4 linked regions of the Anolis sagrei genome follow. The protein of the gene in region 3 interacts with the protein of the main gene of each other region in a pairwise test. Links are inferred from orthologs where the notes say so. Each region holds a gene or a part of one and is shown on either strand. Other genes may lie near its edges.

Evidence for each region.
Region 1: the proteins of NCK2 (region 3) and ABI3 interact in binary tests that used the Homo sapiens proteins (3 or more experiments, as listed by UniProt). The two-hybrid records come from large-scale screens. The link is inferred for Anolis sagrei from reciprocal best matches to the Homo sapiens genes NCK2 and ABI3.
Region 2: the proteins of NCK2 (region 3) and WASL interact in binary tests that used the Homo sapiens proteins (3 or more experiments, as listed by UniProt). The two-hybrid records come from large-scale screens. The link is inferred for Anolis sagrei from reciprocal best matches to the Homo sapiens genes NCK2 and WASL.
Region 4: the proteins of NCK2 (region 3) and LRRIQ3 interact in binary tests that used the Homo sapiens proteins (3 or more experiments, as listed by UniProt). The two-hybrid records come from large-scale screens. The link is inferred for Anolis sagrei from reciprocal best matches to the Homo sapiens genes NCK2 and LRRIQ3.

The regions. Positions count from the first base shown.
Region 1 is NC_090026.1:32,484,295-32,491,843, reverse strand, and holds the start of ABI3 (ABI gene family member 3), read left to right. Parts: upstream 1-4,376; 5' UTR 4,377-4,687; coding exon 4,688-4,807; intron 4,808-7,229; coding exon 7,230-7,397; intron 7,398-7,549. UniProt on the Homo sapiens protein: May inhibit tumor metastasis. In vitro, reduces cell motility.
Region 2 is NC_090025.1:127,455,385-127,463,067, forward strand, and holds the start of WASL (actin nucleation-promoting factor WASL), read left to right. Parts: upstream 1-4,584; 5' UTR 4,585-5,230; coding exon 5,231-5,353; intron 5,354-7,683. UniProt on the Homo sapiens protein: Regulates actin polymerization by stimulating the actin-nucleating activity of the Arp2/3 complex. Involved in various processes, such as mitosis and cytokinesis, via its role in the regulation of actin polymerization.
Region 3 is NC_090023.1:106,056,966-106,064,327, forward strand, and holds the start of NCK2 (cytoplasmic protein NCK2), read left to right. Parts: upstream 1-3,935; 5' UTR 3,936-4,343; intron 4,344-7,362. UniProt on the Homo sapiens protein: Adapter protein which associates with tyrosine-phosphorylated growth factor receptors or their cellular substrates. Maintains low levels of EIF2S1 phosphorylation by promoting its dephosphorylation by PP1.
Region 4 is NC_090024.1:161,747,615-161,756,067, forward strand, and holds the start of LRRIQ3 (leucine-rich repeat and IQ domain-containing protein 3), read left to right. Parts: upstream 1-5,050; 5' UTR 5,051-5,214; intron 5,215-8,453. Other genes in the region: FPGT (fucose-1-phosphate guanylyltransferase), read right to left, coding at 4,869-4,947.

The sequences.
Region 1 (7,549 bases), on a different chromosome or scaffold from region 3:
TGTTCAATTGACAACTCCAGGGATATATGAAACAAAAATAAGGAACAGTGACCTGAGCCGAGAAAGATTGTATTTCCTTCAGCAAAAAATATTTACTGTCAATCTCTAGATCAGGCATCCTCAAACTGTTCAAGCCTGCAACTCCCAGAATTCCTGACAATTGAACAAGCTTGTTAGGGCTTCTGGGAGTTGGAGGCCCAAACAGCTGGAGGGTCACAGTTTGAAGATGCTTGCTCTACATGGTGTAGTGCAGGCATCTTCAAACTGTGGCTCTCCAGCTGTTTGGGCCAACTTCCAGAAGCTTTAGCCAGCTGGTTCAATTGTCATGATGTTTGAGAGTTGGAGGTCTAAACAACTGGAGGACCATAGTTTGAGGATACTTGGTGTAGTGTCTTCAACTTTGGGCTCTGACCCTTTCTACACAGGGGGATAAAATTCCACATTTTCTGCTTTGAACTGGGAGCCCTTCCACACAGCCCTATGTACCAGAATATCAACACAAGAAATCCCACATTATCCAAGTTTGGACTCAGATTACCCAGTTCAAAGCCGATATTGTGGGGTTTCCTGCCTTGATATTCTGGGTTATATGGCTGTGTGGAAGGGCCCTCTGACTCTGGAAACCAGGGCCCTTCCACACAGTCCTATATTCCAGAATATCAAGGCAGAAAATCCCACAATATCGGCTTTGAACTGGGTTATCTGAGTCTATACTGACATATATCCCACTTCAAAGCAGATAATGTGGGATTTTATTCAGCTGTGTGGAAGGGGTCCCAGTGGATGATCTTGGGTGAGTCACACTCTCTTAGTCCTCCAAAACTGTATTGTCAAAGGTTTTCATGGCTGGAATCACTGGGTTGTTGTAGGTTTTTCGGGCTATATGGCTATGTTCTAGAAGCATTCTCTCCTGACATTTCGCCTGCATCTGTGGCAAGCATCCTCAGAGGTTGTGAGGTTTACTTTCTTGATAGGTTTGCTTTAGGGTCACCATAATTCAAAAATGATTTGAAGGCACACAACAATAACAATCTCTATGCAACTAGGCCCAGGGGTAAGGTTCTATATTTGAAGGACAAGGGAATGACTCATGTGAACATTAACCTTGATCCTTCCCCCAACCCACACCTTCCTTTCTGGATATATTTACAAAAAGTTATGATCAGGTACATCAAGGTTAAATTCAAGTTGCATTTCTGTGTAGTCTTTCAGTAGGAATTAGTCTCCTAAAGGTACTTAGTGGCTTAACATGAGCAGAACTGGATGGATGTTAAGAGGGCAGTGTGCATTCCCCATGCACACTCGGTTCCTAATATCAGTGCTTGTGAACAACCTGTGGCCACCCCATGGGCATCTAATGGGTCACAAGGATATTGGACTGCAGAAGTATGTGCTGTGCTCCCATTGGCTCTTTTTATCATCTTGTACCTTTGGAAGCTGTCTCTGCCTTTTCAGCAAATTAACAGCTTTAGCGCCTCAGCTGTAATTCAAAGAAATCCTTGACAGGCATTCTTCTTATGCATTGTTGATTATATTTATGTCATTGTGTTTATACTTATGCAGGCCTGTAGTGAGGGGGTGGTTTTAGGGGTTCAAACCCCCCCCCGAAATGTTTCAGATTTTTTTAAAAAAACTGGTTTACTCATGAATTTTAACTGGTTAACCAAATCCCCATGCTAAGTCTATGAGATGCAAAAAATTAAGAGTCCCTCCAGAGCTGTAAGCACTATCTCAAGCAAATATTGACAATTTATTCACACTGTCATTACTTGCAGCAATAGCGATGTAGTGAAGCAACCAAGTGGTGTGTGTGTGTGTTGAATGCTCTCATTAAGGAGGCCAGACTTGGTGGAGGTGGTTGACAGGGGTGGAGCTGCAGGCTATTGAAGGTTGCTCTGCCCCCTGCTGTGCGCTTTGCTTTAGCGTGAGCTAGGAGGCAGGTTTCAACCCCCCCCCCAAATTTTCAACCCTCCCCGAAATTCCCCCCCCCCCCCCGAAATTTTCAAACCCCCCCCCCCCGAAATTGTCAACCCTCCCCGAAATTTTTTTCTGGCTACGGCCCTGTACTTATGTATGGTTGTCTGCATGTGGCACTTGGAGTGCTTCTGTGAGCCGTCCCGGGTTCCTTTGGGGAGATGGTGGCAGGGTGCAATTATTATTATTATTATTATTATTATTATTATTATTATTATTTGAAACACAACAAGATGAGTCCACAGCAGACACTCTGCTGGCTGTTGTATTGGATCACACATCGGACACTTCCCAAGTGTCTAGGACTGTGTGATGTATTGGTGAATGATGCGTGCAGATCCCAGTAAGGTGGACTTCTGTAGCTGGCAGGTGGTAATTTTGTCAGTGCCGATTGTGTTTAAGAGCAGGCCAAGGTCTTTAGGCACTGCACCCGGTGTGCCGATCACCACTGGGACCACCTTGACTGGCTTGTGCCAGAGTCTTTGCATTGTTTATTATTATTATTATTATTATTATTATTATTTTAATGGCAAATAGGAAATGCACTGTCAAATATGTGCATCATAAAGTAATTTATTTCACAAGGGCCTTAGTTTAGAAACTTTGTTAGATCCTGGGCAGGAGAGCTGGTTTTGCCAACTTCTGGGTTATGCTGACAACTATTGCTACTTCAATTATATGGATTTTACAGAACATGAGGAAATTAATTCAACATTGCTTGGTTGGTTCGGGTGATTTTGCATTTACCTTCCTCAAAAGAGGGTTAAATAAAGGCACCAAATTCTCTCTGAACTTGGAAACTAAACAGGTTTTAGCAAAAATGGATGGGAGGCTGCCAATTAATACCAGGAACTGTAGCAATATTTCAGAGGAAGTAATTGGCAAGACCTGAGTTTTAGTCCCCAGGTCAGTTTCCTTAATTTTCAGGGTTTAGGCCCTTGGTCAGTTCCCTTAAATTTTAAGGAAACTAAAAACCTGTAGTAGTTTCATAATTCCAATATCATGGGAACCACTGTTGGTGCAGAAGTGAGGAACCTTGGTAGGGCTGAATTTCTGCCTGGAACTAATGATAGGGATTCTTCCAACCAATACCTTGGAAAGGGCTAAATGTAAAGGTCAGTGCAAAATTGAGTTGGTGCTTCAAGATAGAAGTATAGCTGGCCTGACTTCTGCTTTCTCTGTATGTGCCAAGGAAGATGGAAGCAGACTTAGATAGTGGCACAAAACAGAGACAGAAACTACAATTTGCGTTGTTCGTCTCTTACTTTCCCTGAGTAGCTTCAAGGTTCTTTTGTTTTTTTCTCTCCTAATGGGACAGGAGACATATGGGTCCATGGGTTGGGCAGCTTGGGCATAATGGTTTGATGGATCAGATACAATGTAGTAGTATTGAGCTCATCCTTGGTTTTCTATGTTGACTAGCAATGTGTGCTCTGAACTAGTATCAAAGGAAAGATAAATTCCCAGAATCCCCAAGCAAGGATGCTATGAACTATAAACTAAAATATGCTGTCCCAAACGCTGAGGACCCTTCTACACTGCCAGATAATTCAGGTTATCAAAGGAGAAAATACACATTATCTGATTTAAACTGGATTATCTTTGGCCCCTTCCACACAGCTATACAAAAATCCACGTTATCTTCTTTGGACTGGGTTATATGGCAGTGGGGAAAACGGAATGTTGGCGGACAGGAAAAGTGATTTAAAGATGGGCTCAAAGCTAACCTTAAAAACCATAGACACTGAGAACTGGGAAGCCCTGGCCCTTGAGCGCTCCAGCTGGAGGTCAGCTGTGACCAGCAGTGCTGCAGAATTTGAAGAGGCACGAATGGAGGGTGAAAGAGAAAAACGTGCTAAGAGGAAGGCGCGTCAAGCCACCCCTGACCGAGACCGCTTTTCACCTGGAAACCAATGCCCTCACTGTAGGAGAAGATGCAGATCAAAAATAGGACTCCACAGTCACCTACGGACCCACCAGAATACTGATCCTGGAAGACTATCCTACTCGGGCAAGGTGGGATTGCGTAAGTAAGTAAGTAAGTAAGTATGTAAGTAAGTAAGTAATGGAAGTGGGGACTCAGATAACCCAGTTCAAAGCAGATATTGTGGATTATCTGCCTTGATATCTGGGTTATATGGCTGTATGGAAGAGCCCTTAGTCTACACTGCTATATAATCCAGTTCAAAGCAGATAATCTGGATGTTACATTGCTATGAAGAAGGGGCCTGAGTTAAGTTACACATGTTCACCTGGCTCACTTAGCAATAAAAGTCAGCATTGCTGCAATCAGTTAAGCAAACAAAGTTCTATAAATAATAGTTTCCTCTCTTGACAGTCCCTCTCCCCTCCCTGCACCATCTCCCTCAACATTTCCTCAGTTATTTCTCGTCATTTATTGTTGCTCACTCAAGCCGAAGAAAGTTTTCTTATCTTGTATGCTAAGCGTGGAGGTACTTGTCACTCCAGGAATGAAAGAGGATGTCCACACAGTTTCCATGTGTACTTGGAGGACAGCAATAAATCTCAGGGTGTCAGCAAGAAGACCGAGGGGTGGGATGGGCTCTGCCACAGGAGGCGTCGACTCAAGTATAAAAGAGGTCCCAGCCAGACAGTGTCACCATGAGTTGTGTGAAACTGAGATCGGATCTTGGGTGAAGTTGCCACACCGCACGCTGTCAGGAGGAAGTGTGGAGACCAGACTGATGACAGCATGTCCTCCGAATTGCAGCAGCTGATACAGGCATCCATCCCTTGTGCAAGGGGGGTCCTGAAGGAAAACTACAGCAACCTGCTCAAAGTGGCTGATTACTGTGAGAGCAACTATGGGCAGGTGAGTCACAGCTGGGTAGGATTCTGAGATGGCACTTGCCATAGAAGTGGGGCTGGCTCTACCATTGGGTAGAAACAACTAGTTCAGGTGGCAGGTCTTGGAGCTGCTGCCCATAATCCCTTCTTAGTCTGATTTATCCCTTTTGATGGAGGACTGCACTATTTTACAGCTATTGGAGACTTGAGTTACCTTTTGGACTGTAATTCCTAGAATTTCCAGAAAAATTGAGATTCCAGGGTTTGTAGTCAAGAAGTAATTTGGAGTGTCATAAACTAGCCTGTTGCTCCCAGTTGTGGTAGAAAGTGTTATCCCCTTGTTGTTACTGAAGGAAGAGTTTGCCTTCAATTACCTTCTGTATGTAGAATAGGGAGATGGTATCATCTTCACTTTGTCCATTGCCTCAGACAGAAGAATGTCTAGGGAAGGCATGGGCAAACTTTGGCCCTCCAGGTATTTTGGACTTTACTTCCCACAATTCCTAACAACCTACTGTTAGGAATTGTGGGAGTTGAAGTCCAAAATACCTCGCAAACTGAAGTTTGCCCATCCTTACCCTAGAGTTAGCTATAAAAAGCAGCACTCTAAGTCATGCTTGAACAGAAGTGTGGAAAGATAGTTTCCTAGGTTGCTGAGGGTATTGCCAGCTCCTGATGTGAATGGGATGGATGGCACAGGAATTATCTCCAAAGCTGTTGAAACACCTTTTATTTATATAGGAAGCTGGCTGCTGCAGGAGCTAGGGACTAGCAACCTCTGGGATGATGTAGGAAGCGGAGGGATGAATATTTCATTTATGCAGAGATTCTAGCCAACCAACACTCCTGCCTGGAAAGCCAGAAAATCATCTAACCAAGGGATGGGAGGGGGATCAGTTTTACAGTACCAAAGCCTCTTTACATGTCCTAAAAACCCCGAATCTGTGCTCCAGCTGAAACTTTGGGGTGATTTTGGATTGATTTTTTTTCAAACTCTAAATGTCCCCAACAGGCAAAAAAAAAAGTTGTTATTCAGCAATTTGATTTCCCCACTCCCATGCCATCTTTGGATCAAAAGCAACAGCAAGAATATCCCTGTAGGTAGCAAAAACTGGTAGTACTAACTGGATGGCCCCCCACAAGGGTCTTCCCCAAGAATGGGCAATTTGGAAGTCCCTGAACAGACTCCGAAGCGGAGTTGGCAGATCGAAAGACAACTTGGCAAAATGGCACTACCTAAAAGAATCCTCCCCCTTGTGTGACTGTGGAGCAGAACAAACAACTCAGCATCTGTATGCTTGTCCACAATGCCCTGCCTCATGCAATGAGGAAGAATTGTTTAAAGCTACAGACAATGCAGCCGCTGTTGCCCGTTTTTGGTCTAAAACTATCTAGCAACTTGTGAGCCCTTTATTTTATCAGTTTTAAATAAACTATTTTATGCAATGTTTTTGAAACAAAATAATATTTTGTATCAAGATGCAGATGAAAAATGATTGCCAGATATGCCATGACCTCATTTCAATGCACTTCAATGACCCATTGGGAAGTCTCTATGAAGGGTGTAAATTATTCCATGCCATCTATGCAGTTGCTCAGTTCCGCCTAATACAGTACAAGAGTAGGGAACGTTGTTTTAGACTAAGGAGTAAGTTTCAGTTTCTTGGAAGGTCATTGGAGGATACTTTCTAGAGATAAGCAAATTATAGGCAACTTTCATTTTAATTTTCATTGGGTTTTGTGAAGATTTCAACAAAAAGTAAATCCCAGTGTTTTGGGGATAACCTATAAACTTCCCCAGGTTTGTAGCATCACACGGGCAAAGGTAGGTAAAAGCAAAGGTTTCCTCTGACATAAAGTCTAGTTGTGTCCGACTCTGGGGGGAGGTGCTCATTTCCATTTCTAAGCCGAAGAGCTGGTGTTGTCCGTAGATGCCTCCAAGGTCATGTGGCTAGCATGACTGCATGGAGCGCTGTTATCTTCCTGCAGAAGCAGTACCTATTGATCTACTCACATTTGCATGTTTTCGAACTGCTAGGTTGGCAGAAGCTGGGGCTAACAACAGGAGCTCACCCCAGATTCAAACCACTGACCTTTTGGTCAGCAAGTTCAGCAGCTCAGTGGTTTAACCCACTGCATCACTGGAGGCTCCACACAGACAAAACCATACTTAAAGTTCTGTTCCTATAGCAAAAGTCACATCTGAGAAGCCACTACCAGACATTTCAGGGCCCTTCCAGATAGGCCCTATATCCCAGGATGTGATCCCAGGTTTTATGCTTTAAACTGGATTATAAGAGTCCGCACTGCCAGGTAATCTGGGATAAACAGAAAACCTGGGATCAGATCCTGGGATATAGGGCCTGTCTGGAAGGGCCCTTAGTATCTCTCTAAGTTTCCCTTTTTCTTCTTCCTCTTCCTTTCCCTCTTCCTCTGAAATAATTTAGGCACAAGACAAACGGAAAGCCCTTGAGGAAACGATGGGTTTTGCCACTCAATCATTAGCCAGCGTGGCCTACCAAATCAGCAACCTGGCCAGCGACATCCTCAAAATGCTGGACTTGCAGGCGGCTGAAATCCGGCAAGTGGAAGCCAATGTCTGCTCCATCACACAGGTGAGCAAGAAAGAACTGTATTTGGGGAGATAACATGAATAGTGTGAGAAGGGAATAAGAGCTTCATCTGACATGTGGTTCTAAACTAGAACCTTTTACTAGGTGGATATTTTTTTGTGGTTCTTGACATGTCAATCTGGATTGTTGCTGAA
Region 2 (7,683 bases), on a different chromosome or scaffold from region 3:
CCACTTGTCATCATAATTATGAAAGCACACTAGAATTAGATGGTTAATTGGGCATTTACATGCAAAATAGTAGAGGTATTTGCCTGTGATTTTTTTGTTGTTTTTTGAGGGTGCCGTAGGCATATCTGTTAATGATGTGGTTCAGAGGCACTGATGTGACGTGTGATTTGTCGTCATATGCTAATGTTGGAGTGTTGTTGTTTTCAAAAAGTCAGAATCCAAATATATAGAGATTCATATATGCAAACTGACATCATTGAAAGAGACAAAAATTCAAATATCTGATTTATTTCTCCACATTGCAAACACGGCTGGTGGGGACGAGAGACAGGGCCTCCTCGGCCATGGCCCCCCACCTGTGGAATGCACTTCCAAATGAGATACGATCGACCCCATCCCTCCTGGCTTTCAGGAAGAAATTGAAATCGTGGTTCTGGGACCAGGTTTTCAGACAGCAGACATAAATCAGCACTTTGGTTGGAAATGGATTGGCAAGACGATATCTATGAAGATACGGTTTTATTGTTTAATTAATGTTTTATGTCCTGTCGAAGGCTTTCATGGCTGGAATCACTGGGTTGTTGTAGGTTTTCCGGGCTATATGGCCATGTTTTAGAGGCATTTTCTCCTGACGTTTCGCCTGCATCTATGGCAAGCATCCTCAGAGGTAGTGAGGATGCTCTGAGGATGCTTGCCATAGATGCAGGCGAAACGTCAGGAGAAAATGCCTCTAGAACATGGCCATATAGCCCGGAAAACCTACAACAACCCAGTTTTATGTCCTGTTTTAATTAATGGTTTATGTATTTTATGTATTTTAATGGCTTAATTTTTTTTTTGTATGTAATGGTTATTGTATTTAATTGTTTATATGTAACGGCATCGAATCGCTGCCAGTGTAAGCTGTCCTGAGTCCCCCTTTGGGGGTAGAAAAGAGACAGGGCAGAAATACCGGAAATAAATAAATAAACAAATAAACTCAATTCTACTTCAATTCTCTATGGGATCCAGTTTTCCCTGAAAAGAGTGTCATTAACCCATTTGTATCTCTCTATATCTGTTGCCCCACAGCAATAATATCAGAAAACTTGTTTCTTAATTTAATTTACTGTTTGTGGCTTGCTTCCAAGAATCATAGGGACCTGACAGAAGTGCCTTGCATGTTTTTGTATCACAAAATGCTTCTGGATTCAAAATTTTAATGAATTAGTTTTTTTAAAAACCTTGATTAGTTGATAGCATTTTAACAGTTATATTCGTAGCCCTGTACTTGGGATCTTCCTTTTTATGCTACAAGGATCTGAGTATTTTGTGGTTCAGTTTATAGGTGCTGATATTGGTGTGTATTCCACATGACTATGATTCTGATACCTTGGACCACCATAAAAGTCAATAACAAACATGAGCAATTCAAGCCTGAAATCTCAAATTATTAAACTACAGCAATTGTATCTTGGACTTTGTGTGAAAAAGGAGTCGTTGGAAAAAAAATGATTAACTTAAGGAAAGTGGAAGGCAATAAGGAAAGAGAAAGACAACCTTAGAGATGGTGGTTGTTGTGCACCTTAAAGTTGCTTCCTCAAAGATCATATTGTAGATGGTTGTTGTTCCTGTGTGCCTTCTAATCATTTCTGACTCATTGTGACTCTGACACTATCACAGGGTATTCTGAGACTGAGAGTGTGTGACTGGCCCAAGGATATTAAGTTGGTTTCCTGGCTGAGCGGAAAGCTTAACCCTGATCTTGAGTCATAGTCCAGTGCAAAAACCACTGAGGCCCCTTCTACGCTGCCTTAAAAATCCAGATTATCTGCTTTGAATTTATTTATTTATTTACTTCATTGATATCCCGTCCTTCTCACTTCACGGGGAACTAAGAACTGGATTATATATCAGTGTAGACTCCTGTAATTCAGTTCAAATCAAATAATCTGGATTATCTGTTTTGATAATCTGGATTATATGGCAGTGTAGATCAATCCTAAATCACACTGGCTCCATATGGCCTGATTTAATCAAGGATGCCACCACCCTGAAATTGCTAGAACTGAATGGAGCTCATTGCCATATAAAATCCACATTATCTGCTTTGAAATTGATTATATGGCAGTGCAATTATTAAATATTGCAATTATTAAAACAAGATCTGTTAAAACAATTCCAAACTCTCTGAAGATCCAACTGCATTAATTTGCGCATTATTATTATTATTATTATTATTATGCAATAACAATCCATAGCAACCACTTACATTTGCTGTGAGATTGGGAATAGCCAAATTTATAAGACGTCCTTTTACCCTTGCTTAAACTTTAAAAGAGGCACCTTCCACACAGCTGTATAAAATCCACATCGAACTGGATTATATGGCAGTATGGACTCAGATAATCCAGTTCAAAGCAGATATTGTGGGATTTTCTGTCTTGATATTCTGGGTTATATGGCTGTGTGGAAGGGCCTTGAGTTTCCGTATGGAGAGAAAAAGCGAGATATTAATAAACATCATAATTGGGTTGCTGTGAGTTTTCCAGGGTGTATGGCCATGTTCCAGAAGCATTCTCTCCTGATGTTTCACCCACATCTATGGCAAGCATCCTCAGAGGTTGAGGGGTCTGTTGGAAACTAGGCAAGTGAGGTTTATATATCTGTGGAATGTCCAGGGTAGGAGAAAGAACTTTTGTCTGCTTGAGGCTAGTGTGAATGTTGCAATTGGCCACCTGATTGCAGCCTGGGGGAATCCTTTGTTGGGAGGTGTTTGTTGGTTATGGGAGTTCTGTGTTCCAAGTTTGGTTCGATTCCATTGTTGGTGGAATTCAGAGTGCTTTCTGATCATAAGTGAACTATAAATCCCAGCAACCACAACTCCCAAATAATTTATTTATTTGATGCACTTATTATCCCAAATAACAAAACAATCCCCCCCAACCCCACCAGTATTCAAATATGGGAGTATTGGATATTTGTGCCAAATTTGGTCCAGTGTATGAAAATACATCCTGCATATCAGATATTTACATGACGATTCATAATAGTAGCAAAATGACAGTTATGAAGTAGCAACGAAAATGTTATGGTTGGGGGTCATCATATGAGGAACTGTATTAAAGGGTCATTGCATTAGCAAGGTTGAGAACCATTGCATTGGAGCAGGGGTCCTCAAACCTTTTAAACAGAGGGCCAGGTCACAGTCCGTCAAACTGTTAAAGGGCCGGATTATAATTTTTTTTAAAAAAATGAATGAATTCCTATGCACACTGCACAGATCTTATTTGTGGTGCAAAAAACACCTAAGACAATACAATAATTAAAATGAAGAACAATTTTAACAAATATAAACCTATTAGTATTTCAATGGGAAGTGTGGGCCTGATTTTGGCTGATGAGATAGGATTGTTGTTGTTGTTGTTCGCTTTCAACTCGATCCAGACTTAGGTTGACCCTGTGTGAGGACCGGGTAAATGACCTTGGAAGGCCGGATCTGGTCCCCGGGGCCTTAGTTTGAGGAACCCTGCATTAGAGCATGGATCCACTTTAAATCCAGTTTCTGCCCCCTTCAGAATTTTGGGGCTTATAGTTTAGGGAGGGGCCTTTAAACTGCTCAGCCAGGCAAGTCCTGGCCCTCACCAAAACTACAAACCCCAGAATTCTGCAGGAGACAGACACTGGATTTAAATTGGATCCATGCTCTAGGTCAGTGTTTCTCAACCTAGGAATTGGGACCCCTGAGGGGGTTGCGAGGGGGTGTCAGAAGGATCGCCAAAGACCATAAGAAAGCACAATATTTTCTGATGGTCATGGGGATTCCATGTGGGAAGTTTGAGCCAATTCTATCATTGGTGGAGTTCAGAATGTTCTTTGATTGTAATGAACTATAAATCCCAGCAACTACAACTCCCAAATGGCAAGATCTATTTTCCCCAGACTCCACCAGTGTTCACATTTGGGCATATTGAGTATTTGTGCTAAGTTTTGTCCAGATCCACCATCACATGAGTCCACAGTGCCATTTGGATATAGGTGAACTACAACTCCCAAACTCAAGATAAATGCCCATCAAATCCTTCCAGTGTTTTCCATTGGTCATGGGAGCCAAGTTTGGTTCAAATCCATCTCTGGTGGAGTTCAGAATGCTCTTTGATTAGAAGTGAACTATAAATCCCAGCAACTACAACTCCCAAATTACAAAATCAATCCTCCCCCAAACCCACTAGCGTTCACATTCGGGTGTATTGGGTATTTGTGCCCAGTTTGGTCCAGTGAATGAAAATGCATCCTGCATATCAGATATTTACATTATGATTTATAACAGTAGTAAAATGACTGTTATGGAGTAGCAATGAAAACAATATTATGGTTGGGTCGTCACCACAACATGAGGGACTGTATCAATTGGTCACGGCATTAGGAAGGTTGAGAACCACTGCTCTAGGTCTTGAGCAAGGTTCCACTTTAAATCCAGTTTCTGCCCGCTGCAGAATTTTGGGGCTTATAGTTTAGGGAGGGGACTTTAAACTGCTCAGCCAGGCAGGTCCTGGCCCTCACCAAAACTACAAACCCCAGAATTCTGCAGGAGGCAGACACTGGATTTAAAGTGCTCTAGTGTGATGAGGCTGTGCAGTTTGACACCTCTTGAACTGCCAGGCTGAGTGCTAAAGGATCCTGGGAGTCGTAGTTGGGTGAGGCATGGAACTACAACTCACAGGGAGCCATAGCACTGCGCCCTGGCAGTTAAAGCGGCGTCAAAGAGGGGGAAACCGACTGGGCCGGCGTTTCAGAAAGCTAGGCCGCAACCCGCGCCAGAGAGAGCAGGAGAAGGCGCTTTCCTCTCAGCTGCTCGTCCCCCCCTCTCTCTCTGTCTCTCCTTTTCCTTCTCAGGGAGGAGGAGGAGACCGGAAAGGCAAGCGCGGAAGGGGAGGCCAAGGCGGCGGCGGGGCCCTGCGAGGAAGAAGAAGACGCCTTCTCCGTTTCCGCGGCTCCCCTCCCGCGCCGCGCCTCTTGGTTTCGCCCGCGCCTCGCGCCCTGCCATGTTGGATTGAGCCGGGGACAAGTTAGAAGTTTAAGGAAGGAAGGCAGGGAGGAGGAGAGGGGGAAAGAGAGGCCGAGAGCAGAGGGGAGCCTCCTTCCTCTTCCTTTTCCTCCCTCCCTTCCTGGGCCACTGCTCTCCATGCCCCTCTGAGGGGCCTGCCTGCCTGCCTTCCTGCCTTCCTTCCCTCTCCGGCCTGGCCCCGCCATGAGCAGCAACAACAACGCCACGCAGCCCCCGCCGCCGCGGAGGGTCACCAACGTGGGCTCCATGCTGCTCACCCCGCAGGAGAATGAGAGCCTCTTCGGCTTCCTGGGCAAGAAATGCGTGGTGAGTGAAGGAGGGAGGGAGGGCCGCTGCGAGGCCTGCTCTGGCGGGAGGCAGACAGGGCCCTGCGCCAAGTGACAGCCCAGGGGGGCTGAGGCGGAAGTGGCCCCCTGGGGCGGGCGAGGGGCGGGCTGCGGCCTCTGAGGGGGCGCCTTGAAACTCCCCCCTGAGGCGCTTCCGTGACCAGGAGGACCTTCACCAGGGGAAACTTGAAGCCCTCCTCTGAGGTACTTCTGTCACTAGAAGGACCCCCAAAGGGGGGCTTTTTGAAACTCCCCTTTGAGACACTTCCATAACCAGGAAGACCTTCGAAACTCGCCTCTCATGTACTTTCATAACCAGAAAGACCTTCACCAGGGGAGACCTGAAGCTCTCCTTAAAGGCACATTAGAAGGGCTTCCAAAGGGGGGCTGTTTGAAACTCCCCTCTGAAGCACTTCCATAACCAGGAAGAACCTTTAAAGGGGGAGACTTGAAGCTCTCCTTATAGGCACATCTGTAACTAGAAGGACTTCCAAAGGGGGGTTATTCAAAACTCGCCTCTCATGTACTTTCATAACCAGGAAGACCTTCAAAAAGGGAGACTTGATGCTCTCCTCTGAGGTACACCTGTTACTAGAAGGACCTCCAAAGGGGGGGGGGGGTATTCGAAACCCGCCTCTCATGTACTTTCATAACCAGGAAGACCTTCAAAGTGGGAGACTTGAAGCTTTCCTCTGAGGTACTTCTGTTATTAGAAGGACCTCCAAAGGGGGGCTATTTGAAACTCCCCTTTGAGACAATTCCATATCCAGGAAGACTTTCAAAGGGGTAGACTCGAAGCTCTCCTTAGAGGCACATCTGTAACTAGAAGGACTTCCAAAAGGAGGTTATTCGAAACACGCCTCTCACATACTTTCATTACCAGGAAGACCTTCAAAAGGGGAGACTTAGAGGCATTTCTTTTCCCCAGGAAGTCTTTCAAAGGGAGGATTTGAAGCTCTCATCTGAGGCAACTTTGGGTCCCGTGAAGGAGAAAAGCAGGATATAAATAAATATTTATTATTATTTAATATTATGACTTCCATGACCAGGAGGATCTTCAGAAGGAGAAACTTGAAACTCCCCTCTAAGATATTTCCATAACCAGGAAGACCTTCAAAAGGGAGCTATTTGAAACTCCCCTCTAAGGTATTTCCATGACCAGGAGGATCTTCAAAAGGGGAGGCTTGAAGCTGTCCTCTGAGGCACTTATATTACTAGGAGGATCTTCAAAGGGGGCTATGTGAAACTCCCCTCTAAGGTACTTCCATGACTAGGAAGACCTTGAAAAGGAGAGGTTTGAAGCTCCCCTCTGAGGCTTTTATTTTTCCCAGGAAGACTTTCAAAAGGGGAGACTTGAAGCTCTCTTCTAAGGTACTTCCCTGACTAGAAGGATCTTCAGAAGGGAAGATTTGAAGCTGTCCTCTAAGGCACTTCTATTACTAGGAGGACCTTCAAAAGGGGGCTATTTGAAACCCCTCTGAGGCACTTCCATGACCAGGAAAACCTTCAAAGGAGGAGACTTGGAGCTCTCCTTAGAGGCACTTCTGTTACTAGAAAGACCTCCAAAGGGGGTTATTTGAAATTTCAAAAGACCTTCAAAAGGGGAGACTTGAAGCTCTCCTCTAAGGCCTTTTTTTTTTCCCCAGGAAGACTTTCAAAAAGGGAGACTTGAAACTACTCTAATGTACTTTTATTACCAGGAGGACCTCCAAAGGGGGCCTACTTCAGGCTCCCCCCGAAACACTTCCATTACCAAGAAGACCTCAGAAGGGGAGACTTGAATCTCCCCTCTAAGGAACTTCCATGTCCAGGAAGACATTCAAAGGGGAGGCCTAAAGCTGTCCTCTGAGGCACCTCTATTATCTGAAGGACCTCCAAAGGGGGGGGGGGGTATTTGAAGCTCCCCTCTGAAGCATTTCTGTTGCCAGGAAGACCTTCATTTGGGGAAACTTGAAGCTCCCCTCAGAGGCACCTCCATTACCGGGAGTACTTTCAACAGGGGGTATTTGAAACTCTTCTCTGAGGCTCTTCTGTTGCCAGGAAAATTGTAGCCTATGGCCCTTAAAAGGGGCAACATGAGATACTGCCATTGCCAGGAAGACCCCTATGGCGCTTGTTCCAGAGGCTGTGATATGATGTTTGTGGAGAACTAGAATTTTCACAGTTTGGGGAAGGTCCAAACAAGTCTCAGCTTTTCATCTCCCTGGGGTTCCCTTTGTGGGCGTCACAGAGAGGGAAAAGCAAGCAAACCAGAGCACCCCCGTCCCCCTGCTGAGCCTTTCTTTCCCACACAGCAGCTACTGGCTTCAT
Region 3 (7,362 bases):
CATCAACAAGTTAGAAGGAAGACATCTGAAATAACGAGAAAGGTTCCCCTACTTCAACCAAAGCCCCTAGAACGATTCACAAAAACAACAAGAGCATCTCTTATTTCTTTAAAATTAAGGCAGCGCTTCCTATTCTAACCGAACCAGCATGTTAACTGCAGAGAAGATTTTAAATTCAAACAGGACATAATTCAGGACATAATTCAAAGCTGAGAACGTTTTTTTGTTTCTTTCTTTTGATGTGGTTTTGCTTATTTTCTTTCTCATTTGCTTTTTAGAAATACTGATGGATGTCATGCAAAATAACAATAAAAATTTATAGCGGAGGTGGCTGCATGCTAATCTCTGGGGTCCCCATGAATCTTGGCACCATCAAATAAAATTTTCTAACAACAACTTTTGATTTCAGCTTAAATCTGTTGTTAAAATAATAAATATTTTAAAAGAAAGGACATAACAAAGCAAAGGGAGAACTGGACACCCCTTCTATCTCAATGGACCCAAATAGCCATGGCTGTGCCTTGTGTCAAAATAACTCACTGCGCAGATCTTCAAAGGCATGAAGAATGCTGAAGGTGGCCAAAGGAGATTCAGGTCAGCTTCACAAGTTCCTTGGTTAGCTTTGAAAATTTGAGCTATGGTTTACCTTAGCTTCCCCAGATTTCCCAATTGTTCTTCTCTTCTATTTTTTTGGTTATGTATTTAATGTTCCTCCATCTACCTGTTCCCTCAATCTCTCTCTCTCTCATCCTGCCCAAAGCTCTGGTAATGAAGGGAGTGAGAAAAACCAGTATGGAACCAGTGAGACAGCCTTACTTATCGGAATGGGCAGGATCCTTCCACCAGCCATTGCACATCACAATAGGAAAAAAATAGTTCCTGGCTGTAGTGCTCAATGCATGCAAATGTGCTCCTTGTAAATCCTTGCTCACATAATACAGGCCAAGCATTCTTTATCCAGAAATACAAAATGCTCCAAAATCCAATGATGAATTGGCCCCCAATGCTTAACCAGGGATCATCCAGATGAGCGCTTCCCAGACTTAGTCCTCCATTATCTTTAGACCTTTGCTTCCAGAATTCCTGACTTTTGGCCAAGCTGGCTGGGGCTTTAGGGAGGTGAAGTCCAAAAAAAGATGGAGGACCTAAATTGGGGAAATATTAGTCCAGACTAACATGGCCATGGCTGTGTTTACACTGCAGAATTATAGCCGTGTGACAACTTGAACTGCCATGCTATGTCATTTTGGGATGCGTAGTTTTGTGTGATATTTACCTCTGATTGAAAGCTCTGATGCCACAACAAACTACAAATCCCAGAGTTTACAAGATGGATTCATGACAGTTAAACTAGCATCAATCTGTTATAATTCTGCAGTGTGGATGGTTCCCAGCAATCCCCATACCTTTTCAGTCATGGAACCCTGTTGAAGACAACTACATTCTGTGGAACCCTAACTCATCCCTGATTTGTTTAATCAAAATATATATTCTGGTTAATTTTACGCTAATTGAAATACGTTTATCAAGTTCATATATAAACTCTAGTTTGGGAGCAAATTTTACTCTTGATGTTTTATGAATAATATCCCAAATGTCTTTTATTTTTCAGAATATTTAGTCCAGATTTTTGACTAGGACCAACTTTGTGGCACAATTACAGGGCAAATGGATCTTGTAGCACCTTTGAGATTCACTGAAAGAAAGAAGTTGGTAGTGTAAGATTTCATAGATTTTTATCTACTCTATCAGTTGCATGAAGTGAAGGAACTGACAACTGGAAACAAGAGGAGAAAGTCTAGCAGAGTATTCAGCGATGCAATTTTGTGCCTGATACTATAGCCTTCTGTAGTGTCAAAAACAAAACAAAACAAAACACTAGAGTATTTTTTTTTCAGTGCTCCAACGTGTTAGGGAGGACAGGACTGCATATTCCATATTTCTTTCACAATATTGCTGTTCCGTATTTCTGTTCCACATTTCTTTTACAATATTGTTCATTACTAGTGTCTATAATTGCATTAATATTAGTTTATTGATATGTACACTTTCAATTCTTTATTAAATAAATAGAAGTGAAAACCTAATAGGTAAAAAAATTGAACCAAACCACCCAAATACAAGTTGAACATCCTTTACAGGGACAGATATTCCAAAACCAAAAAACTTCTAGATACAACTTGTACTGTTACACACTGTTAAGGTAAAGTAAAGGTTTCCCCTTGACATTAAGTCTAGTCAAATCTGACTCTGGGGGGTGGTGCTTTTCTCCATTTCTAAGCTGAAGAGCAGGTGTGTTATTTATCTGTTTGCGTATTTACAATAATAAAACCTTAATTTATTTTATTCTGAAAAAAAGTATTCAAAACAAAACAAAACTATCACGATACAAAAAGAAGCAAAGGTTTTTATAAGATACATTACTGAAACTGCAGCTGGGGGAAATGGCATTGAATATTTGCCATTAGTATGTTGTAAACCGCTTTGAGTTCCCCCAGGGGTGAGAAAGGTGGTATACTAATAGAGTAAACAAACAAACCACATTTTGGCACCACTTTCATGACCATGGCTGAATGCTATGCAATCCTAGGAGTTGTAGTTTGGTGAGGAACCAGCACTCTTTGTCAGAGAGGGCTTAAGACCTGTACAACTATAACTCCCAGCACTCCACAGCGTTGAGCCATGGCATTTAGAGTGGTGCCAGAAGGCAGCATCCACTCTTGGGCACAGGAGAGACGCATCCTCCTGTTCGGGCTTTTCTTCCTCCCTGATGGGCGGCTTCGGGAAGGCGGTACTTCCACCTGGGACGTCACGGCGGCCACCCAATCGGCTTCCTCGGAGCCCCTGACGCGTTCCTGAAAGTTCCCTTTCCTCTCGGGTGGCCCTTCTGGGAACGGGAGACGGGTTCTATTTTTAGCCGGGGGGAGGGGAGGGGGGGAGGGAGAAACAAAGGAGGGCCACTCCACCCTAGCCTGGACCGGGCATCCGAGGTGAAGCCCCCCGCGAAGCCCTTTCGCCCTGCCAAGGAGGAGATTCACCTGGCAATACCCAAAAAACAGTGATCTTTAAAAAGTTGCATCTACACTGTAGAACTATTGCGGGTTGGAACCCCTTAGAAGCCCAATGCCTCAAAGCTGTGGGATCCTGGCAGCTGTAGTCCTACGCGCTCTTTACCGAAGAGGAGGGGCGCCCCGTAAAACTAGATCTCTCTTGGCACTGAGTCCACGTTAAGCTGCATTCCTTCTATGTTGCCGATGCGGCCTAAGCCTCGCGAGCGTTCCCTGTCCGAAGCCTGAAAAGAAGCGTTCTTTGAGCGCACAAAAACAGCCGGGAAAAGGCCTCACAACCTCTGAGGATGCTTGCCATAGATGTGGGCGAAACGTCAGGAGAGAATGCTTCTGGAATGTGGCCACACAGCCCGGAAAACTTACAGTGATTTTGAACCATGAAAGCCTTCGACAACACTAGTCGAAAAAGAGTTGCTGCCTTCCTAGAATCATAGAATCCTAGAGTTGGAAGAGACCTCATGGGCCACCCAGTCCAACCCCATTCTGCCAAGAAGCAGGAATATTGCATTCAAAGCACCCCTGGCAGAGGGCCACCCAGTCTCTGCTTAAAAGCTTCCATAGAAGGAGCCTCCACCACACTCCCTCCGGGGCAGAGAGTTCCACTGCTGAACGGCTCTCAGGAAGTTCTTCCTCATGTTCAGATGGAATAGTCTGAAACTTGGAGAGAAGAGGGGCGCCTACTCGAGATGTCCCACGTCAGGCCACCAAAGCGGGCCGGGGGCTGGTGCCACCTCAGGCCGGGAACCTCCTCGTCACACTAAGGAGGGAGGGAGTGTAGGCGTGCCCCAAGTGAAGGCCGGCCCTGTCCCTTCCTCCATTGGGGAGGAGGAGGAGGAGGAGAGGGCTGGGCCCCGCCTTTCCCTCCCACTTTCTGAGGGAAGCCGAGGAGGAGGAGGAGGAGGCTGGCGATCCTGGGCCTCCCGTCGCCGCCTTCCCCGAGCGGCAGGAAGGGAGGGAGGGAAGGAAGGAAGGAGGGCCCTGACTGCCGCCTGGGTGGAAGGGGAGGGGCCGGAGCCGTTGCCGCGGGGCTGAGGCGGAGGGAGCTGCCGTTGGGCCTTAGGCGCGCCGAGCGACGGAGAGGAGGAGGAAGGAGAAGCGAAGGGAGGCGGAGGAGGAGACCCCCCTCTCTCTCCCTCTCTCTCCCTCCGCCGACGCCGCGGAGACAAAAGAGCCAGCGAGGGAGGGCAGCCTCCTCTCCTCCCTCGGCCCCCCCTCCTGCCATTCTCCTCCTCCTTCTTCCTAGGGAGCCCACAGAGAGGACAGCCCGCGTCCCAGGTAGGAAAGAAACGCCAAGGGGAGAGGAAGGGGGCCGCCAACTTGTGGAGTTGCCGAGGGGGAAGCAAGGCACGCAGGCAGGAGGGAAAGAAGAAAGAAAGGAAGGCGCCCTCTCGTCCCGGGCCTGGCCTAGCCAGCGCGCCCGGGTGGAAGAGCCAGGCAGGCAGGCAGGCAGGAAAGAGCCGCCCTTCCCTCTCCCAACACTCCAAGCTTTGGCTTCTTTTCCCAGGGAGGAACAACCCGCCCCCCCCCTTTCTCGAAAAACCTAAATCAGGAGATCCCCCCCTTTTGTTATAGATCACCCCCACGTTTTCTTTACCGATTCTCTCCCCACTCCATTTTAACCCCCCTTTTTCCCTTCCATTTCTGGAGCGTGAGAGGGAAACTATTGTTTCAGAGGGCTGGCTGCCTCTTTCCTCCCAAGAAAGGAGTTGGGAGGGAAAGGAAGAGAAGGAAGGGAAGGAGAGGAGGGAAGGAAAGGAAGGGGGAAGGGAAAGTAAAGAAGGGAAATGAAGGAAAGAAGGAAGGCTGAAGAGGGAAATGAAGGGAAGGAAGGAAGGAGTGGAAGAATGGATGAAGGGAAAGGATGGAAGGAAGGAAAGGGAAGGAAAAAGAGGAGGGAAGGAAGGGGTTTGTTGTTGTTGCTGCTGCTTTTTTTCTTTACAGAAATGATAAAAGGGAGAGAACTGTTCCAAAGGGATCCTGGTCTCTTCCCCTAATCCTGGAAATTTCCCCAACCGAAGTGGGTGGCCAAGGGGTTTGGTCCCCTCGGGGAAGAAAGCAGGAAGGGGCCAAAGGCTTTGGTCTTTCCCCCCAGGGCCCCTTCAGCTGTGGAGATTTCCTGTTTGTGTGTACAGGGAAGGGGACTGAAGTCCGTATTTCTGGGCTCCATTGTGGAGGGAGGGGTTTTTTTGGTGGGGGAAGTGGCAAGGAGGAGGGTTTTGGGGGCGTGAGTGGGAGCCATCCGGAGGGAGGACTGGAAGGCTGTGCCCACCCACCCCATCCAACCTTGCCCCCCTTTGGGGTTTGGAGGAAAGATGGAGCAGCACTGGCACATGATCCTGGGTTATTACATGTTTTTATTTTTTTCCCCCTTGGCCAGACAGCTGCTGGATTGTATCAGGGTGGGGAAGGGAGGCATCTCAGCAGGATCCGTGTCTAAAGAGGGCCATGCTCCTCCCTTGTTGTTTTCTTACATCTGTGAAATACCATCCCTGACCTATCTTTCCTGGTGGTTGTTCTAAAGCGCTCTGTAAATGATGCGTGTTGCTATTATCTTGGGCAGAAAAGCACCTCCTGTTTTTATAATCAGATCTGATCTCTTTCTCTGGGTGAATGAGAATTATTGTGACTTAAGTTAGAAATTTTAGGGGGCAGAAAACATTAACCACTCTTCTCTTCCATGTGTTAACTTTGTGTCCAGAGTATCCCCCTGGATCTCCTTACTTCCCTGAAATCTGTGTTCTTTGTTAGTTTCTCACCTCGAACCATTTCCAATTTGATGCAGAGGTGAGCCCAGGTGTGCTCTGCAGGAAGGTGCAGCCAATCGGGACTTCTTGACCAGCCCACCTGTATGATGTACCTGCCCACTGCATCCACACCTGAAATCTTTTCTTTCTGATACAGGGTGATTGAGGGTTGTGGAACCTTCTAAGATACTGAGGGAGGCAGGGATTTTCAGTGCTGGCAGTTTCCTCTCTCTCTAATGATGTACATTGCTGCATGTTCAAATCCCAGTTTCCAGGAGAATGGTGGCATCATTTTAGTATCATGTGGGCTGCTTTCTCTACCATTTAAACACAAGAATAGTGACATCAGACACATCCCTTGCTGCACATCAGGCTTCCTGGACTCACCTTCCTCTTATGATATTTTTTTTTTGTTTTTAGCTGCCATCAAGTTCACTTTGAATTAAGGCAACCCATGAGTGAGATACCTCCAATATCAATAGCCCTGCTCAGGTTTTGCAGGTTCAGAACTGGCACTTCCTGGTTGAGTCCATCTTTCTGAAATAAGGTCATCCTCTTTTACTAGTGCCTTCTACCTTACTAAGCATTGTTTTTCTTTTCTATTGAATCATGTTTTCTCATGATACGGCCAAAGTATGACAGTCTTTGTTGTCTTCTGGGGAGAGTTGAGGCTTCCTTTGTTTAGAACCCTTTTTTGGACTTGTTTAGTACTTCATATCATTATTCCTTTTCAATATGGGTTCTGGACCTTTGCTAGAAGTTGAAGTGAGGAGAAAGGAATACCACAGACTTGACTTTGAAAGATATGTAATTGGGCCCCTGAACCATTTCATGAAATGAACATTACCAAAGTAGATCTGTTTCTCTTCTTTCCACTGTGCCTGTGTCCATCACGGAGAGGGATTTTTTTTTAAAGCAGTGATTTTGGGGAAATAATAATAAAAAAAAATAATACACTTTATTTATATTCCACCCTTCTCCCCTAGGGAACTTTGAGCGGATTACAGCATCTACATACATAGGCAAACATACACATATATATACTCACATGAGTGGATGCTGATTGTTTTCCTGGATCGTGGAAGGGCTAATGTGAATAAATACTGCAGCACTGAAGAGTATATCCCCTTCATAACCTTTAGATATATACATGTCTGTTTACTTTCATTCCTGTGGAAGCCATTACCATGCTCTTTGGGGATCTAAAGAGCAAAATAAGTTTGTATCTAAGTCAGTCCTGATGGGTATTGCTCTTGGCAATAGCATGCTGAGATCTTGTGCTTTTTTATTTTCACAGTGATAAGTTGCATCAGCATATGATTGTCTATATGCAAAAGATAAATTATGGCAGTAGATAAGTACGTGCTGACTGGTTGTTGCTGCTTTAATGATATGAGTAACCAGGGTCAAGAACAGGGCCTGTCGTCTTCCCAGCTGTGTCCCCCGTGGGTAATTCTTGCTTTCTTGCATATGCCATTCCTCTTTTTGAAAGCTAGGTCCTGCACTAAATGCAGTGTTTTCAGTTTTATCAGTTCAGCTTCTCTTGGCAG
Region 4 (8,453 bases), on a different chromosome or scaffold from region 3:
CATCATTTTATAGAAATGTGCTAGTTTTTAATACCTGAGAATGCACCTCTCTAGGAATGTCTGGATGTTGATTAAAGAATCACAACTGAAGAACTAACGTTTCCTAGAGAGATGTTATCTCTAGGCCATTCTAATCCTCCATCATTATCTTATGATCAACTTCTGACGGAAGTCCTAGAGAACTTAAAGATTCAGAGAGAACATTTTTTTATCATATTTGCAAAATCAAACCTCCAGGCGTGGAGATCTGACTGTAAAATATATATTATTTCCCTATCGTTGTCCATTCTATGTTAATACTAACATTTTAATACAACCATGTGAAAAACAAAACAAAATAAAATAGAACAACCCACAGGGGATCCACATAGTTCTCCGACAATAACAACTTCTGTGCTTTAAATCTGACTGCAGAACACCCAGGTGACTAAGAGCAACCATTTAAAGAACTATATAAAATCCTTCATTTCCCTTCAGGAAAGCTTCAGAGTTGGAATGTAGAGGAGATACCTTAAAGAGAGCGATAGGGGGATTTACTAGTCTCTCTAAGGACTTCCAACTATACAAGTGAAAAGAATGAAATTTATAAACCAGATTGAATATTCTGTATGTGTAGAAATCTATAGAACTCTTTTTCTCGACTATCCCAAAAGGCAAAGCAAGCTGAAGTGAGTTCAAGAGCTGGTTTATCTTCACTCTTTGACCTAGTGGCAAGTAAAAGGACTAGCTATGGTTCCTTGCCTGAAGGAAGGAGTTATATTTGTTGCCTCCCTGTTGGTGTTTTATTTAATCCCCACCCCTCAGTACTGGGAGAGAGTGCAATATGAGAGTTAACTGCTTCCTCTCACTATATACACCAGAAGATAAAAAGGATAAACTCAGACTGCAGCTAGGAGACATTACTGCTTCCCCCAGGCAAGGAGCTATTTCTGTTCCTTTGATGGTCTACTTGTCAAAATCATCACCCCATCAAATGCCGCACTTGCATTCAGATTATTGCTATTTAGTAATCCCTCCCTTAGCTTTATTGTTAGTTCAGTTAGTGCACTTATATCCGACTGTTTCTTTTTTTTTTACGAAAAAGAGCAGTTTCCATAGGTTCCCAGTCTGATTCAAACCACTGGCCATAGTTGGATGGGCTTAGCTTTGCCAAGATTGTAGTATTGTGTTTCCTAACAGCATCCATGGATTAATGTGCTTATTTCTCTGCATGGATTCAGTGAAGCTAATTGTGAGGGTTTCATTATCTAAGCTATTGCCAAGAGTGCAGTAACACATGGAGAAAAAGTTTTTGTTTTTCTTAGTTTTGAGCCATTAACATAGACACAGAAAGCAAATGGAACTACAGTGCAAGGACCAGATATAAAATACAATCATAGAATCAAAGAGTTGGAAGAGACCTCATGGGCCATCCAGTCCAACCCCCTGCCAAGAAGCAGGAACAGTGCATTCAAATCACCCCTGACAGATGGCCATCCAGCCTCTGTTTAAAAGCTTCCAAAGAAGGAGCCTCCACCACACTCCGGGGCAGAGAATTCCACTGCTGAACAGCTCTCACAGTCAGGAAGTTCTTCCTCATGTTCAGATGGAAACTCCTTTCTTGTAGTTTTAAGCCATTGTTCCACATCCTAGTCTCCAGGGAAGCAGAAAACAAGCTTGCATTTGTCACACCTTCCTTTTAGCATGAGGACAAGGCGAGCCATCACGTTCTCATACTGAGAGGAGGGCCCTCCCAACTGCCCAGAGGACTCACGTGTCAGACACCGGCACTCGTTAGCAGATCAGGCTAAATACTTTGAAAAACTACAACTCCCAGGATTCCATAGCCTTGAGATGTGGAAGTTAGAGTGAGGCTCAAACACATGAATTTGCCCCCCCCCCCCCGGCCAACTGCCACTGTCCAGCCCCCCATGAACCCCACCCAGCGTGTGCTCCCTCCCTTCCATCCTGTTAAATTTTAAAACACAATGCAGCCCCAATGTGAAAAAGTTTACTCAGGCCTGGTCTACACTTAAGGATAAATGCAGTTTGACACTGTTTTTACTGCCATGGTTCAGTATGATGGAATTCTTGGATATGCAGTTTGGCAAGGTACCAGCACTCTGTCAGAGAAGGTGAAAGCGCTTGTAAAACTACAGCTCTTGTGATCCCAAAACATTGAGCCTCGGCAGTTAAGTAAAGGTAAAGGTTTTCCCTAACATTAAGTCTAGTATTGTTCGACTCTGGGGGATGGTGCTAATCTCAATTTCTAAGCTAAAGAGCCAGCGTTGTACCTAGACACCTCCAAGGTCATGTGGCCAGCATGGCTGCATGGAGCGCTGTTACCTTCCTGCTGAAGCAGTACCTATTGATCTACTCAAATTTGCAGGTTTTTGAACTGCTAGGTTGGCAGAAACTGGGGCTAACAGTGGAAGTACACCCTGCTCCCAGGATTCAAACTACTAACCTTTCAATCAGCAGCTTAGTGGTTTAATCTGCTGTGCCACCAGATCGCTACCAGGGGGCAGTTAAGGAGTTGAATTAAATTCAGTTTGACACCTCTTTTAACTTTGAATGTGTTTTTAGTTAAGTTTAATGGATTTTAACAGTGATTTTCTTTAACTCCAAATGTGTTTTCAGTAAGTTTTACAGATATTTTTTAAAAAACACCAGTGATATTATTTTCTGTTTAAATGTTTGCATATTTGTAGATTTCAAATAGTATTGAAATGCTGGGTTATTGTGAGTTTTCCAGGCTATATGGCCATGTTTCAGAAGCATTCTCTCCTGTTGCATCTATGGCAGGCATCCCCAGAAGTTGTGACCTCACAACCTTTTGAGGATGCCTGCCAAAGATGCATGCGAAGTGTCAGGAGAGAATGCTTCTGGAACATTGCCATACAGCCCAGAAAACTTACAACAATCCAATGATTCTGGCCATGAAAGCCTCTGTATTTAAATGTGTTTTAAAGTAAGCTGCTTTGACTCTCCTTTGTGGAGGGAAAAAGCAGGGTATAAAAGTTAAGGGGGGGGGGGGGCAGAAGAGAGTTCCATCTTGTCTCCTGTGCTATGTTAATAATATAATATAATATATTGTAAATACATATAACATTAATAATATTATAATGTAATGCAATATAATATTACTACTACTAATATATTATAATTATATATTTATATTACATGTAATATTACTATTAATATTACAATATAATGGTATAATACAATATAGTAATGTTTAATACTGATATTGTACTATACAATGGTATTCCCCATAGTCAGCTACGGATGTGAGAGCTGGACCTTAGGGAAGGCTGACAAAGGAAGATAGATGTTTTTGAACTGTGGTGTTGGAGGAAAATTCTGAGAGTGCCTTGGACAGCAAGAAGATCCAACCAGTCCATACTTCAGGAAATAAAGCCTGACTGTTCATTGGAGGGAAGGATAGTAGAGACAAAGATGAAGTACTTTGGCCACATCATGAGAAGAAAGGAAAGCTTAGAGAAGACAATTGTGCTGGGGAAAATGGAAGGAAAAAGGAAGATGAGTCAACCAAGGGCAAGATGGATGGATGGTATCCTTGAAGTGACTGGATTGACCTTGAAGGAGCTGGGGGTGGTGACGGCCGACAGGGAGCTCTGGTGTGGGCTGGTCCATAAGGTCACGAAGAATCGGAAACAACTGAACGAATGAACAACAACAATTGTACTATGCTAATAATATAATATATTTTATGTAGCCGCTCCGAGCCCCAGGAAGCTGCTCCGAGCCCCAGTGGAGTGGTGGCATATATGTTTAAATAATAAATAATAAAATGTATATATATCTTGTAAGCTGCTCTGAGTCCCCTTCGGGGTGAGAAGGGCGGCATATAAATGCTGTAAATAAATAAAAATAATAAATAAGCCGCTGTGAATTTCCTTTGGGGTGAGAAGGGCGGCATATAAATGTCATAAATAAATAAACACAATAATAATATGTATTGTCGAAGGCTTTCATGGCAGGAATCACTGGGTTGTTGTAGGTTTTTTTGGGCTGTATGGCCATGGTCTAGAGGCATTCTCTCCTGATGTTTCGCCTGCATCTATGGCAAGCATCCTCAGAGGTAGTGAACTAGGAACTAGGAAAAGGGGTTTATTTATCTGTGGAATGGCCAGGGTGAGACAAAGGACTCTTGTCTGCTGGAGCTAGTCCTTTGTCGCACCCTGGTCATTCCACAGATATATAAACCCTTTTTCCTAGTTCCAACAGACCTCACTACCTTTGAGGATGCTTGTCATAGATGCAGGTGAAACGTCAGGAGAGAATGCCTCTAGAACATGGTCATACAGCCCGAAAAAACCTACAACACAATAACTGCTGTGGCTCAATACTATGGAATCATGGGAGTTGTGGTTTTAGACCTTTCTATTAGAAAAGTGCTGGTGTTTCACCAAACTACAACTCCCAATATTTGATAGCACTGAGCCTTGACAGTTAAAAGAGATGTTATGATGCATCAATGAGGATGCACCCAAGGTGGCTACCAAAATGTGTTAATTCTACAGTGTGTAGAACAGTCATGGGCAAGCTTGGGCCCTCCAGGTGTTTTGGACTTCAACTCCCACAATTCCTAACAGCCTCGGGACTTTTCCTTTCCCCCCTCAGCCGCTTAAGCTTAAAGTCCCGAGGCTGTTAGGAAATGTGGGAGTTGAAGTCCAAAACACCTGGAGGGCCCAAGCTTGTCCATGCCTGGTGTAGATTTACTTTTAGTGCTCATTCTATGTGGGCGCCCGAAAGGGCTGTAAGGAGGACCTTCCTTGTGCCCTGGGATAAAGGCGGCAGGGAAGGCCTCTAGGCCAGGCCTCCCAAGCCCCGCCCTCCCTCGCCCCCCGCCCGCGCCCTCCCACCTCTCAGCTTGGTGAACTTCTCCAGCCTCTCGCGGGTGGCCTGTTGCAGCCCGACCTCGGCCTGGCTTAAACCCTGCATGGCGCTGCCGGCCCCTTCGGCCCTCGCCTCGGTGCTTCCGGGTGGACTCGAGTGGGCCGGGCCTAGTAGGCCGCAAGGAGGAAGCAAGCCCGTTGCCGAGGTAACCGGAGCCCGTTGCCAGGGTAACCGGGAGCCGCGCGGGGCCGAAGTTTGCTTACGCCTCTACTGTCACTGCAAGGCATTTTTTTTAAGGGGAAGACTAATAGACAGATAGAGAAAGAACCCCATAGCACGTTGAACTTGGGTCAATACATAGAGCAGAGAAAGGTGAGCAGACTTTTCTGAATATTGGTATGGAATAGACCCCTCTCTCGCTCTCTCTCTCTTTAATTTGAAGGGAACCATAAACATCTTATTTGTGAGAGGTGTCCAAAGAAGACTTCTTTTCAGTGTTGTCACTATGGTTGGTGTCTCCCCCTCTTCAACCACACCATACAGTATGAGGTTTTTGTTTTTTTAACTTTTGCATAGTTTATATTTATTTTTATATATTTATCGTGTCAAAAACAAATTGAGAATACAGTTATAGTGTATTAAAAACCCCACAAACAAAGTTAAAAGCTTGGCATTCTACTAAATGTCCTTTGAGCAGAAGCTGGCCACTTCGAGTACTGTGAGAAGGTCCTCCATTGTGCATGTGGCAGGGCTTAGGCTGCATTGTAGCAGGTGGTCTGTGCTTTTGCCGCACGCGCATGTCATGGACTCCACTTTGTGGCCCCATTTCTTAAGGTTGGCTCTGCATCTTGTGGTGCCAGAGCACAGTCCGTTCAGTGCCTTCCTTCCATGTCGCCGGGTCTTCTGTGTGCCCAAGAGGGAGTTTCTCATCCATTTTCAGCTACTGATTGAGGTTTGTGGGATTTAACCTGCCACTTTTGGACTCTTGCTTGCTGAGGGGTTCCTACCAGTATCTCTGTAGATCTTAGGAAGCTGTTTCTTGATTTAATGTGTTGGCTTGCTGGTTGATATTTGAACAGAGGATGGCTCAGAGATGTCAGTGCCTTGGTCCTTTCATTGCTGGCTGCTACTTCCCAGCGGATGTCAGGTGGTGCAATACTGGTTAAACCAGGCATGGGTAAACTTTCTAACTTGGGGCCACAGGCGGGCCGGAGTGGGGTGGGGGGGAGGCAGGAGGGAGGTGGTTCTCCCCAAGCCCCCTCCATGCCCTTTCCTCCCCTTTCACTTCTCTTTCGGAGGCAGAAAGTGAAGGAAAGATGAGAAACGTTTGGCTCTCAAAGGGGTTGGCCTTGGTCAGATGAGATGGTGGACAGGGGAGAAAAAGTGTATCCATTAGACCCCATATTGCCTACTCCTGATATATAATCCTAGCACCCAAGTGACCCCAAGATCCATCCAGTCCAACCCCCTGCCATACAAGAAGGCACAATCAAAGCACTCCCAATAGACAGCCTCTGTGGAAAAGCCTCCAGAAAAGGAGATTCCACCTCACTCGGAGGCAGCTATGCCACTTTCCAACAGCTCTTACTCTCAGGAAGTTCTTCCTAATCTTTTCAGTCAAATCTCACTCCCTGCCATTTGAAACCATTACTCCCTTGTTCCCCGGTCTCTAGAGCAGCAGAAAAATCAGTTTTCCCCTCCTCCTCAATGGGACACACTTTGAAATCTTGAAAAATGATTCTCATGTTCCCTCTCTACCTTTTCTTCTCCCAGCTAAACATCCCCTAGGAGGAAAGAAAAAGAGAAGGAAGGAGGGGTAGAAGGGAGGGAGGGAAGTAAGGAAGGAATGACTCAAATGCCACTTGGAAATAAACTTAGAAGCAGATAGATGTACCCTCAGCCGCTGAGAAAGTTCCACATTGATTATGCTGGCACTGAAAAGGAGAAACAAGCAAATCACCTTCTCTCCTTCAGGTCAGAAACCAATGAACGGCAGCAATGTTGGGTGAAAAGCACATTTCCCAAGCTTCCCAATATGAAGTTAGAGTGAGATCATAGATAAGCAACAGACACATTATGTACACTATGTAACAGGATCTTTGTTCCTGGGTTATAAATGTCATTTCCTCATTGATTCTATCGTAAAAACATGGAAAAGGTGTATTAAATTGCAAAAACTTTGTTTTCTGCAGAACATCCTGCAGTACATTTTTGCTATACTTTTTATCAATGAATATCTCATCAAGTCGCAACCAATTCAACATAGTTTGTGGCACCCCCCCAAAATGAAGTTTCTGGAGTATAGCAACTACTTTCAAAGTACAATGAAATAGGAATAACATTTTCAATCCAGGAACAATTTTATCAAATTTTGTTACATAGTGTTATAAGTATAGTTGAACTGTTATTCCCTTTGTCTTCCAAAACTGACTCTGTTGGCTAAGGCACATAACAGCTGAATTCCAAAAAGTATGGCTCTCATATCCACAGTTTCCCTTATTCATGCAACAAAATATTCCTCCTTGGAAGTGTTTGTGGGCATCTCAAATAAAACCCTATGATATACTTCTGGTCCATATATAGCCAAACCAATAAGGTTAACTATTCTCCATAGCTTCAGGTGTCCCTAGAGGGCCTTGGAATGTCCCCTGCAGATATGAGGGTTGTACGATAATGATTTTTGTACTTTGTTACTTGCCCACCATAGTTTCCACATTTCATTGAATGTAATGACAGAATCAGCAACTATGAAAAAAAAATGGAAGCAAAGCCCCAAACACCCCCAAAGCCACTAGATCCTGACTGATCCTGACTTCAAAGTTAAGCAGGACCAATTCTGGTTATTATTAATATTTCATGTCAGGAGCGACTTGAGAAACTGTAGGTTGCTTCTGGTGTGAGAGAATTGGCCGTCTGCAAGGACATTGCCCAGGGGATGCCCTGAAGTTTTTTTTGTTTTTTTTTTTACATCCTTGTGGGAGGCTTCTCTCATGTCCCCGCATGAGGAGCTGGAGCTGATAGAGGGAGCTCATCCGCCTCTCCCCGGATTCGAACCTGCGACCTGTCGGTCTTCAGTCCTACCGGAGCTGGAGCTGACAGAGGGAGTTCATCTGAGCCGGATTCGGTCATCAGTCCTACTGGCACAAGAGTTTAACCCATTGTGTCACTCTGGTTAATCCTTGGATTAAAGATCACCAATAAATACCAAGTCCTATAGACTATATTTCAGAGGAAAGGACTGTAAAAACATCTCTTGCGTGCTCTTTAATAAAATATTATTAAATTTATTGGGTTGCTATATGTTGATCCCCACTATTCTACAAATGAGAAAAAGCAAGTGAACAGGCAAAACTTGATAGCTGTTCCCTCAATGAAAAACAGCTACCTCTCTTTTTGTACCATTCTTCCCTCTGGTTAGCCTCTCTGGTCTCATTCGTGTTAGGATCATTGTACTTTGCCCCATGTGGAGAGCGGGCAAATTTCCTAATGGAGAAGACAGGTGAGCTATTAGAGACAGTGGCATGCAATCCTTGTATACATGTTGCTTAATCTTGCATTACATAAGTGTAGTGTCTCCCCTTCTACAATACAAACAGTTGTGTATGAGTCTT